Sus scrofa: one gene and its partners. The protein of the gene in region 1 interacts with the protein of each later gene in a pairwise test. Links are inferred from orthologs where the notes say so. Each region holds a gene or a part of one and is shown in the gene's direction. Other genes may lie near its edges.

What was found.
Region 2: the proteins of KPNA5 (region 1) and NUP50 interact in binary tests that used the Homo sapiens proteins (3 or more experiments, as listed by UniProt). The two-hybrid records come from large-scale screens. The link is inferred for Sus scrofa from reciprocal best matches to the Homo sapiens genes KPNA5 and NUP50.
Region 3: the proteins of KPNA5 (region 1) and ANP32B interact in binary tests that used the Homo sapiens proteins (3 or more experiments, as listed by UniProt). The two-hybrid records come from large-scale screens. The link is inferred for Sus scrofa from reciprocal best matches to the Homo sapiens genes KPNA5 and ANP32B.

Annotation. Positions count from the first base shown.
Region 1 is NC_010443.5:44,931,151-44,934,754, reverse strand, and holds part of KPNA5 (importin subunit alpha-6), read left to right. Parts: intron 1-1,260; coding exon 1,261-1,362; intron 1,363-1,478; coding exon 1,479-1,578; intron 1,579-3,604. UniProt on the Homo sapiens protein: Functions in nuclear protein import as an adapter protein for nuclear receptor KPNB1. Binds specifically and directly to substrates containing either a simple or bipartite NLS motif.
Region 2 is NC_010447.5:4,216,525-4,220,791, reverse strand, and holds the start of NUP50 (nuclear pore complex protein Nup50), read left to right. Parts: upstream 1-1,381; 5' UTR 1,382-1,860; intron 1,861-4,267. UniProt on the Homo sapiens protein: Component of the nuclear pore complex that has a direct role in nuclear protein import. Actively displaces NLSs from importin-alpha, and facilitates disassembly of the importin-alpha:beta-cargo complex and importin recycling.
Region 3 is NC_010443.5:239,840,582-239,844,862, forward strand, and holds the start of ANP32B (acidic leucine-rich nuclear phosphoprotein 32 family member B), read left to right. Parts: upstream 1-1,480; 5' UTR 1,481-1,836; coding exon 1,837-1,890; intron 1,891-4,281. UniProt on the Homo sapiens protein: Multifunctional protein that is involved in the regulation of many processes including cell proliferation, apoptosis, cell cycle progression or transcription.

The DNA of each region.
Region 1 (3,604 bases):
TCTCTTAGACTTCCCTGTTTGAACCTTGTAGATATGACGTAAGGAATAGAAAAAAACTCATTTAAAAGAGTGTATCTCAACATTTTTCCAGTAATACTTAAATTTAGAGGTATTCATAAATAGTTAGGAGGTTGTGCTCCTCACATACCTGGATTAAAACTTACATGTGAAAAAGGCTAACAATGAAGAAAGTAGAAAAAAGCCTGTTTTAGAAATATGATTATGATTTGTTACCCCCCTATTTGTGGTATATTAGATGACAAATTATATGCTATAATAGAGTATACTCTCTATTATAGTTAAGAACTCAGGGGAAAAAAAAAATCATTTGAATGAATGGTTAGAAAGAGAACTGTGTTGGAATTCCCTTCGTGGCTAAGCAGAAACGAATCTGACTAGTATTCATGAGGACGCAGGTTTGATCTCTGGCCTCGCTCAGTGGGTTAAGGATCCAGTGTTGCTGTGAGCTGTGGTTTAGGTCACAGACATGGCTCGGATCTGGTGCTGCTGTGGCGTAGGCCGGCAGCTGTAGCTCTGATTCAACCCCTCCCAGGAACCTCCGTATGCTGCAGGTGCGGCCCTAAAATGACAAAAAGAAAAAAGAAAGAGAACTGTATATAGACTGAGGAACAACAGAACTTACTTAGCTATGAAAAAGAATATGATATCAGATTTTTTCCCTCAATTTTGATGTACAAGATGTATCTATAAATCTTCCCCAGTGATCTGATCAAGACTCTTTGCTCCTCTTTTTTTTTTCCTTTATTCATTCCTGAGTTAATAAGCATCAGGACATCTTTTCTGAGAATTCTCTTCTTTGTTAATCTGTTACCAGCTCTGTTAATGTACACATTAACTCACTAATGTAATAGTTTGCTTTTTAATTAAGATTTTCTTGGAAACATTTTTAAACATTTTATAATCTAGTATAGGTATATGTGCTTCTTAAAATGTTGTAAAATCTAAATGTTGTTCTGCTTATGGGACTGGCCATTGGTAAAAGATCTGAGATTAAGAATGACCGAAAGCTGAAATAAAGGGCAAGAGCTAATCTAGCCCAGAAAGTTTAACTTCTCGTAGATAATTTAGGTGTTCGTGGTATAATGATTAAGAAATATTGAAATATTAAAAAAAATACTGAAATATTCAGAATTTTAGTTATATGATTATTGTTTTGTTCACTTAAAGGAAAATATAATTCTATAGGAATTTATGTTTTATGGAAAGCTCAACATATAAGGTTATTTCTCTTTTTTACAGTTATTCAAACGCAGAAATGTCTCTTTGCCCAAAAGTGACGAATCTATGTTAGAAAGTCCTATCCAGGATCCAGATATCACTTCCACTGTACCCATTCCAGAGGTAGATATTACAAAAGTGTATTTAAAATTGTATTTCAATAATATTTCAGAGATGGTGATACAGCAAAATTACTAATACAAAATATTTAAATAATAATTATATTTTCTGTGTTTTAGGAAGAAGTTATTACCACAGATATGGTTCAGATGATTTTTTCTAATAATGCTGATCAACAGCTAACAGCAACACAGAAATTTAGAAAGCTGCTTTCTAAAGGCAAGATTGATTTTCATTATGGTTATTTGATATTGTTAAGAATTTATGAGTTTTGTTAGATTTTTTTCATTTTAAGGCATTTTTCTTTGCCAGTAGTTAATTTTTCTCTAAAATGTATTTTTAAATCACATCTTTTTTAAAACATTATCAAAGTAACACATGTTGATTGTAGAGTATCTACAAATATAAAAAAAATTTAAAGAAGCAAATATAAAAATCATTAGTCCCCCTGCCAAGAAACAAATTAGAGATACATATTCTTAATTCTTTTAGAAATAATTTTCAGATTAAAAAAAATGGCAGCATAACATCAGAGCATGACTGTAAAATAATTTAATCAGATATTTCATTTTTCACAGTTTTTGATTATCATAAACAAAGCTACATAAATCCTTGTACAATCCAAAACTTCCTTAGTATGAGTTTATAAAAGTAAAATCATGGGTCAAAGGGAATAAACAGTGTATTAATTTATACTCCCATCTTTAGTTTGTATAGGTATTTATTTCATTTCACTATATTCTTTTTTTTTTTTTTTTGTCTTTTTAGAGCCACACCCGCGGCATATGGAGGTTCCCAGGCTAGGGGTCGAATTGGAGCTGTAGCCGCTGGCCTCTGCCAGAGCCACAGCAACTCTAGATCCAAGCCTCATCTGCAACCTACAACACAGCTCACTGGCAATGCTGGACCTTTTAACCTACTGAGCGAGGCCAGGGATCGAACCTGCAACCTCATGGTTCCTAGCTGGATTGGTTTCTGCTGTGCCATGACGGGAACGCCCATTTCACTATATTCTTACTAGTATAATTATCTTTAAAAAAGAAAATAATGTTTGTATAATAGTAACATTGTATGGCATCTTTTTGAGTACTTAAATTGAATATTTTCAATTATTGACCTTTTTAATTTATAATTTATCTAATCATCTAATTTAAGTTTATAAAAGTTCCTTATTAAACAAAAATATAATCCTTAAGTCTATCTTGTCTTTCATGTATTGAATTTATAGGATTAGTAATTTTAATTATATCTGCTTGTATTAAGATTTTGAAATTGCCCTTGGCTAGCCACCTTATCTTCCTAAGGGAGACAATATCTAGTAACATATAAGGAGTAAAAGAACTGTTGTGTTCAGGTCAGCATAGATTACAAGGCTTTTACTTTTGCTTTCTTATTGTACTTCTTTTTCATAAGTACATTTAACTTTTGTTTTCCATCCCTTATCTTCCAAGCTGAAGTAGCTTAGCAATGTTAGGAAATCCTATATGATCAAGAATGGTTTCCTCTTCCTGACCATCCACAGTTTTTGTGTTTTTAATTTGGATTATTTTTTTGGTCACGTTAATTTTTTTTTTATGGCTGCATCCAGAGCATGTGGAAGTTCCTAGGCCAGGGATCGAATCCGAGCCACAGCTGCTGACCTGTGCTGTGGTAACCCAGTGTGCCAACTGGGGATCAAACCCATACCTCTACAGTGACCAAGCTGCTGCAGTCAGATTCTTAACCCACTGCATCACAGTGGGAACTCCCAGATTAATATTTTTTAAATAAAACATTAATTTTTAAAAGTAATTTTAAAAATGATTTAAATGTATTACTAATAACGTTAATTTTTCATTTTATCACATTCTCTTTCAAGGTTTCTTTTGGTATATGCATTATTATAACTAATTAACAGAATTAATTTAGATTTAATTCTATTTAAGAATATTAGTTTGCAACCAGTTTTTAATATCCCAACTTCCCTATTATTTAATTCTTTTGTTGTAAGATTTTATCTTCATTTGTCCTAATTCCTCAGAGTATTCTATTTTTTTTCTAATGTAGTATCTTCTTTTTATAAAATCAATGATTTCTCTCCTTCTTATAGTGGGATTGGCCTTGTCCAGGTTGGGCTTATAGCAGAAATTATAAATATTTTCTTTTACTGATTCTTGTGAATTCCTGTCAAAATAGTTCACAGCTCTTGAAATGCCTTTCTGTCAAGTTTGCATGTCTTTGTTTTAAAATTTCTTAGAGGTTTTAT
Region 2 (4,267 bases), on another chromosome or scaffold:
ATAATGTATAGTCTAGTATCCAGATAAACAGTCTTTAACAGGAGTCCCTGAATAGGCTTTTGGGGAGGGTTCATAAACACCCTGAAATTACACGCACTGGTTTCCTACCTGAATGCATGCACAAACTTTGTTTGCATTTTCAAGTATAGCAATAAAGCTCTCTCTGAAAAAAGAAAAAAAAAAAAAAAAAAAGAAGGGGGTTAAGAACCGCTGCTCTAAGAATGTTCCTCTTCCGGGAGTTCCCTGGTCGCTTAGCAGTTAAGGACTCCGCATTGTCACTGCTGTGACTCTGGTCTCTGGTCCCATCCCTGGCTAGGAACTTCCGAATGCAGCAGGTGCTCCCCCAAAAAGGGAATGTTCTTTTTTTAAAGCAACTTTCCTAAAGTAATCATGGGTCTAATTCCAACTGTGTCTATTAACCACTAGGCAAGGAGTTAAAACTGAATTGCTTTGTACAGCTTAACCCACCACTGTACCGTTTGAAATACTACACCGTGGTATTTGAGATGCTGAACAGCTCAAACAAAATCGCATCGATACAACTCCGGAACCGTACACACGAATTAGTCCCACAATTTAAAAACGCGTTTGCAGAAGTTCCCGTTTAGGCTTAGAGGAAACAAATCTGACTAGCAGCCAGGAGGACACAGGTTCAGTCCCGGCCTTGCTCAGTAGGTTAAGGATCCGGCGTTGCCGTGAGCTGCGGTGTAGGTCGCAGACGCGGCTCTAACCCCGCTTTGCTGTGGCTGTGGGGTAGGTCAGCAGCTGCAGCTCCGAATCCCCCCCAGCCTGGGAACCTCCCTATGGCGCAGGTGCGGCCCTAAAAAAGTTTTTTTTAATTTTTTAAAAATAAAAACGCGTTTGCAGATTTCGTCTTCATTGACCCCCATTAGGTGTCACTTCGCCTCTATGACACCCACCGCGGAAAACAAGCACAAGTTGGCCGCAGAACGGCGACGAACGGGGTGACATTCTTCTCGCCCACGCCCGTCCCTCCCGGCTCTGCGATCCCAGGCCTTCCGAGCATCCGCAGCGGGCGGGCACGTTGCCGGCCACCGGGCAAGGCCACCCGGGGAGCTCTCGCAGACGGACGGCGGCGCCGAGCTCCCGTCGTGCCTCTACCGGCGTCCACTCACGCCTGCGGGAGTCATGGCCTGTCTCTTGTCAGCCTTCCATCACGAGCCCCGGCCACGATGCCTGCCTGACCCCATTCTCCCCGGCGCCTTGCAGATGTCAGCCGCGCCCAGCCACGGAAGCAACCCGCGCCCAACGCCTCAAACGCCGGCGACGGGCGACACGTGACCAACGCCCGCAAACCCCGGCCGCCGCTGCCGGCTTCCCGCGAGGCCGGCGCATGGGGTGTGCGCATGCGCGCGCACATGCGTGAGACGGGTGCGTTTCTCGGTCGACGGTTTCGAAGCAGCTGGGCGCATGCGCAGCGTGACGCCCTTTGCCCGCTGGGGGAGGTGCGGCGAGGCAAGGCTCCGGCGCGCGTGCGCAGTAGCTCGACGCGGGCGTTTCTTTCCTTCTTTTTTCCGAATTGGTTTTGAGGGGTAGATTCGAGTTACAAAATGGCGGCCTGGGGTGTGTTGGGCGCTGTTCCCTCAGCGGCCTCTGACTGAACGGACGGCTGTCCCCATCCCTGCCGAACACAGAGGGGTGAGGCCCCCGAGGGACATGGTGTTGGCGACTCAGGGCGTGCGGACCACCGAATCCTTCGAGGCTCTCCGCGCACCGGAAGCGACCGCGCGCCGCCTCAGAGCCGAACGCCGCGGCAGCGCCCTCGCACCTGATCGCCGCTGCGCGGCCGGGCCTCGCGGCGCCCACAACCCGGCGAGGGCTGCGGCGGCCGCCGGGGAGGTGAGAGGCGGGCGGGCGGCGCGGAAGGGGAGGGGGGGCGGCCGGGCGCAGAGGCCGGGGTCTGGGGGGAGGAACCCGGGCTCGGGGTGCGGGACTCGGGTCTGGGAGGGGGAGCCGGGTGCGGGGTCCCGGCTGGGGGAGGGGCGCGGGGGTGCGACCGGGGCGGGGGGGGCGGGGTGTCGGCAGCGACGCGATCGGGGTGTTTGTCCAGCCGGGCTCGGAGCTGACCGTCGGCGCTGCGGTGACCGACGTGCGTTAAGGCCCGCCCGGGAGCGGGGCCCCCGTGGCCCCGGCGGAGGCAGGCGGCGGCGCGGGCAGGGGCGGCCCGGGCCAAGCCTTCTCGGTCTGTTTCCCAGCGATTCCTCTCGGCGCTCGTCCCGCTGCCCTCGCCCCCTGCACCTCCTCCTGGGCCTGGCCTCACTCTGGTCGCCGCGCTCCCAGGCCGTGGATCCCCCCTTTGCTCTGTCCAGTGGGAAGCGGTTTCCTTTTCCCTAGCGTTTCAGCCCCCGGGGTCCACCCTGGTTCCTCCGGGCATCACACCCTCAAGTGCGGTCAAGTCTTCGGGCAAAGCGGGGTGGGTTGACGTTAACCCCCAAGGATGGGGTAGCATCGGGGTAAGCAGAGGTCGCGAAGCGAACCGTGTCAGGCACAAATAAAGGTGTGCCCAGTTACCAAAAGTTTGGACTTCCGATCGCAGGGTCTGCTTCATACCTGGTAATCATTTCATAACTTGATAACATTTTTAACTAGAAGCCGAGAAATTTAAGATCTTAAGAATAATAGCATTTAAGACTCTTTAGGTGCCAGGCCTTCCCTGTTTTTAAGTACAGGGAATTCCCCCCCCCCCAGGCATTAAAAGAAAATTTATTGTATGAAGACTCATGCTTTGAAATAAAATATGGATTTGGCAAAGTATTTTTTAAAGCCTGACTCATAATTCAAGTTAATCTTGTTTTTCTGTACTTACAGCGACGATTGGGAGGAAAAGATTATAATCTTTGCTGTTAACAGAACTCGTTCCTTTAATAATATGTATCGAGTCCTTCCTCTGTTCCAGGCATTGGTCTAAACTGTGCTTTTTGTTTACGTTATTCAGTTTTCATACCACCTCCCTGTTCTACAGATGAAGAAACCGAGGCGCAGAAATTAAGTGCCCTGCCCAAGGTTTACAGCAACAAAATGGCAAAACTAGATGCTAGCATCTTGTAGTAGTTTCTGGAATGTGTAGTGCTGAGATCTCTGATCCTACAATAGCTAGAACACCTGCCTGTGTGTGGGCGTGGGGCATTCCCAGTATATGTGAGTGAGAGGCAGATACCTGCCCTCTGGTTAGTCACCTGATAGACCATGGAAGCAGCTATTGAACTTAGGTTGTTTATGCCAGTTATCTTTTCACTTGTGGGTATGAGTTAGAAGTTAAAACTTTTCTCTTACTGCATTTTTGCACTTTCAGCTCCATCTCTTTTTGTCAGTTAATCTTAGTAACTGCTAAGTAGTTAATAGCAAAAATGACTGTTTCAACTTCTCTGCTCTGCTGCCCTCTAGTGGTGTTAGTTACTGTAGGAAAATGGCCAAAAAGGCTCCACAGAGAGAGAGAGCTGGCCTCTGAACAGTTCAAGTTTAGTAAGGATTTAGGTGTAAGGATACCTTGTTTGTTTTTTGGATGACACAGATTAATAGCAAAACTTGACCAGGTGTTGGGGATGAAGGCATTAAAAAAAGAGCATTTGCAGGTAATGACTGAAAATTATTATATTTATTCTCATTTATGTCTTAGAATCTGAGACTTTAAGGCCCATTTGTTCTGTTACCAGAAAAAAAAAAACCGCTTATAAAAGAAAAATTGAGAGGTTAGTAGGAGACTTTTAAAAGCTGAAAAGGCTTATGTAATTACCCTACAGGGGATCAGATTTTGGAGGACTTTAGAATGCCAGCATCTGGATTTTATTTTGTAGACACTGAAGTGCAGTGGGTAATGTTTAAGTTTGTATCTAATGACCAGGAGGTTCTAGAAACTTCTTCAGGTGGGTTGTGTTGATTGAGGGGAGATAAGAGTGGGAAAGGTAGAAGGAATGTAGGCTGATTTTCGGGAACACTAGCTAGTGTCCCAAAGTAATCGATAAATTTTTGGGCAAAAAATGGGATTTTTTTTCATCCATTTAGCTAGTGGGTCAGGGAAGAATCCAAAACAACACTCTCCATTTATTGTTTTATTTTTAATAGTGAAGGATATGATCTTAGGATTGGGGGGATAATCGCAATTATTTTGTTGTTGTTGTTGTTGTCTTTTGTCATTTTAGGGCCTTACCTGTGGCATATGGAGGTTCCCAGGCTAGGGGTCCAATCGGAGCTGCAGCCACCAGCCTACGTCAGAGCCACAGCAACGCAGGATCCTAGCCGCATCTGC
Region 3 (4,281 bases), about 190 Mb from region 1:
GACAGTGTAGCAGAAAAGATGGCAGGCCTTAGAATCAGACCCATCTGGGTTTAAACCCTAGCTCCACCTATTGTTGGCCCCATGGCTTCAGTTCCTCATTTGTGCAATGACTGAAAGAACATATTAAGCCCTAAAAGTGGATGCACACGAATTGCTTGTTAGCTCATGGAACTAAGTTTAGTTTTTCGTAAAAGCCTTCATCTCATAGTCTTGTGGTTCTCATAACCTTAGTTACAGACCTCGTGCGACATCCTGAAGAGCACTGCCCTCACCATTTCCCCATCACAAAAATGTCTGCTAAGACTAACATTTAAAATACAAGGGAACTACATACTAGAAAGTTTTTGCCTTTTTCCATAACCCTCCTGAAAATTTTCTGCTTTGACATTTTCATGCATCTGATATTTTAAAAATCGATATAGTTTTGTTTGCCACTAAATGAACTTAGGTGAAAGAGAGGAGTCTTAACTTTAAGAAAAACTTATGGTAATGCCATAGAGTTGTTTTTCTCTATTCCTAAATTGTTCTCAATCTTGGAGCTTCTTCTCTATACTAGAATTAAGATGGTATCTGATTTGACACGTGACTATGTACTTATTTTAAGATGAATGTAACTTCATATTACTCCCCAGAGGTCTGCAAAACCGACTTAGTGCTCTAACCCTGTCTCTCAGGGAGCTTTTTGAGGCAGCCCATGACAAAAGCTACCTGCCAAGCTTCCCCGAATTGGAGACCAACAAGAATCCACACACCTCAGAGGGGTGCCCTTAAAAATAAAGGAGATAAAAGTCTTGAGGAACCTCGGTAAACTTCGAGGCTCCATTAGAAATGCTAATTACTGCCTCCACTAGCCTATACTTAATGTTAGAAAACCCAGGGAGATTCTCCCGAACTCTGGAACGCTCGCATCTCTGCGGTTTGAGCAAGCGGCCGGGGCTACCCCGTCCCCATCGGTCTCAATGGCCGACTCCGCCAAGTGCCACGCGCTACAGCGCGGGCCGGCAGCGATTCTGCCCCCCAACGGGGGTCCTCACAGCACTTCCAGCCCCACTTGGCCAAGGAAACACAGGTCTCGTGCTGTTGGCCCCATGCTGTAGTTGGAGGGGAGCGGGAGGTGACCCCGAAAGCCCCGGTCCCGCGCTCTCAAGTCTGCCGCCTTCGCCGGTGTCGGGTTGGCCTGGCCGAGGCTCGGCGCGAGGGCTTGGCCTTAGAGAGCTCCCAAGACCGACCGCAAAGTCTCCCCGCAGCCCGCTCGGCCGACTTCCAAGCGCGGGCTGGAGACCTGTCTCCAGGCGCGTCGAGGAAAGACCCAAGGTCTCAGCTGGGGGACGGGCGGGGAAGCCCCCGAGGTGGGTCTTACATCAGCCACCCCACGTGCGACCGGAGGGCGGGAAGAAGCCACTCCTGTCCCCCGGGCTGCGCCTTTTCCCCCCCAGCCTCCGCCCCTCCCGCCGCGCCTCTCCCCGCCCCGTCCTTGGTGCACCGCGGCTGCCGAGCCGAGCGGCGCCGCGCGGGGCCGAGTCGAGCCGAGCAGCCACCCGCGCCGCGTCGCCGGTTTAAGCGCAGTGCGGAGCCGCGGCCGGGGGCGGCGGTAGTGAGACCAGCGCTGCGCTCCAGCCCCCTTTTCCCTCCATGGTTTCTCTCCGCTCCCGTGAGTAACTTGGCTCCGGGGGCTCCGCTCTCCTGCCCGCACGCCGCCAGCCGCCCCGGACCGCGCCGCCGGCCTCTGCCTCGAGCAGACCCCTTCCGACGGCCCTCGCTGCGCAGGCTGGGAGCCTCTCCCCCCTCCGCCCCCGTTGCGGAAAGTTAAGTTTGAAGAGGGGGGAAGAGGGAAACATGGACATGAAGAAGAGAATCCACCTGGAGCTGAGGAACCGGACCCCGGCAGCTGTAAGCAGAATCCCCTTCGGGCTCCCTCTCCCCCCGATGACTTGCATGTAATGGTGGCCACCTGCGGGGTCCCAGACGCGGGCTCGCCGACCCCGGCGCGGGCAAGAGCGCAGCTCGCGGGCTCGGACGGGAAAGGCGGGCGGGCAGGCGGGCGGGCGCGGAGGGGGGAGCGAGCGCGCGGGATTAACTCTTTGGCGCCCGCGGGCCCCTGCGGCCGTCCAGGGAAGGCGGTGGGGTGGGGGAAAGCAAACTTTGAGCTCTTCGCCCGCCGGGGTCCTTTCCCGAAGGAGCGCGTGTGCGTGTGGCCGGCGGCAAGAGAGGGAGGAGGGGGTTGTGTAACGCTGGGAGCCATGTTTGCAGCCTCCCGAGATGCGCGGCCGGGCGGAGGCCGGGCCTACGGAGGAGCCGCGCTGCCAGTCCGGACTGGGCCCGCTGCGGGCCAGGCCGGCCTCCGCGTGCCCCCGGCCGGCCCGGGAGGGGGCTCGGGCGGAGCAGGAGGCTCCTCCAGCCAGGTCTCGCGGTTGGCGCCGGTCCGGCCAGGACGGGAGCGGAAGGACGAACAGAGGGTTCTTTGCCTCCAAGGGGGACAGGAAGCCCCCTCGGGCGCCGGGGGGCTTGGGCGGGCGCGGCCTGGCGCGCGCGAGCTGGGGAGGGGCGAGCCCGGGTGGCGGAGGTGGCGCAACCGACGCCCCTCCCGAGGCCAAGTTTGAAAAAAGGAGTCGGTTCCCGCCATTTTTCAAGCCTAAAAATAAAACTTTGTCTACCTATCTCTCGCGCCCCTTTCGACCCCCAGGCCTTCCCCAGTCCCGGTCTCCAAATGCAGGCCGCGCTCGGCCCGAGCTAGCAGTTGTGGCGTAAGCGGCTTCTCCCTCCCCCCCGCGCCGCGGCGGCGGAGCCCGGGGGCCCCTGCCCGGGAGGTTGGCCCCTCGGTGTGGGCGGGCGGCGGCTCCTCGCGTCAGCCCAGGCGCGCCACAGGCCGACGCAGCGCCATGTTGGCGGGCACCCGTCTCCTTCCGCCGCGTGAGTCGGCCTGCGGGCTCTGTCCGTCCGGCCCTGCCCGCCCGCACCGGCGGTGGCTCTGAGCCGCCGCTCCCTTGGCCGAGCCTGCGGTTTGTTTGGCGCGGGCCTCGCCAGGGCTCGGCTCGCACTGGCGGGAGCCGAGCGCTCCGGCCGTCGCCGACTCATCTTTCGGGCGCGCTGCCGCCCCCTCCCCCCTTCTTAAAAGGGCAACGGCAGGCGGCCGCCTCCGCCCCTAGTCGCGGGTACAGACGGGCCTCGGCTGTGCTTGCTTGCCGGGCGGGCGCTGCCCCGCACGTGCTTCAGAGCCGCAGATCCAGGCCGGTGCTCGCCTGCCGCGGCTCCGTGAGTCGCTGGTGGGCCTTGAAGAGTCACGTCTTTATTCTCTACCCCGCCCTCCCCGCGAAGTAGAGCGGCTTCCCGCGGCAGGGCGCGGGGCCATGTTTCCTGGCGCCAGCGCTGGGAGGCCGCGCCTCCGCCAGAACCCCTCCGCGGGTGAGTGGCGTCCCCTGGCAGAGGGGCGGCCCGGGGAAAGCCCTCACCACCCCCTCCCGCCCCTGCGCCCCACACTGGAGACGGGCGCGTTTCGGGCAGTCAGGTAGCGTTGGGTAACAAGTTGCCAACTTGTGGGAATTCGTCAAGCAGGCTTTCCCTGGTGTGCCAGGGGTTTTAAATCTCTGAGGTCCCCACAAATGAGGTGCGGCCCTGCTGCATCTGGTGTTCCCACCTCTCCCTGGAAGACCTCTGGTGGTGGGCGTCTCGACTCTGTCCCCTGAGTTTTAAGGTTGAGATTTGACCGCGGTCGTCCCTTCCGTCCATCAGTCAGACATTTTGTGTCGGCCACGTGCTAGTACATTGAACCTTTAAGCCTCTTCACACTGAAACTTGCAACCTAATTTTGAGAAGAGTTAAGACATTTGAATTATTACTGCTCAGGTCCAAATCAGGTGAACGTGAGTAATTAAATTTACCCGAGTTTCCAAAAAGAAAAATACGTATATGGTTCTTTAAAGTGCCTTAAGATCTGGGATTTGGATTTTAGCAATGTGTGTAGAACAGTATTAAAATACTCGGCTAAGGGCTCTGTGGCTCCCTCTGAGAAGAAATACAACTGAGCTGGTGGTGTATATGGAATTTTTTCGCACATGAAATAACTAATACTGATTTTTAAAATGCATATTTATGTGCGTTGGGCCTTTTATTTTTTTTCCCATGAAATCAACTTAAGCCTTACCCTTTTGCCAAAACAGTTTTTAGTCATGTGGCTTTTTAAATTAAAAGGTCATTTTGCCAGTTGCACTATTCACATTTCAAGTACTCAGAAGTCCCAAATGATTAGGGGCTGCTGTATTGGACAGTACTGCTCTACAGTAA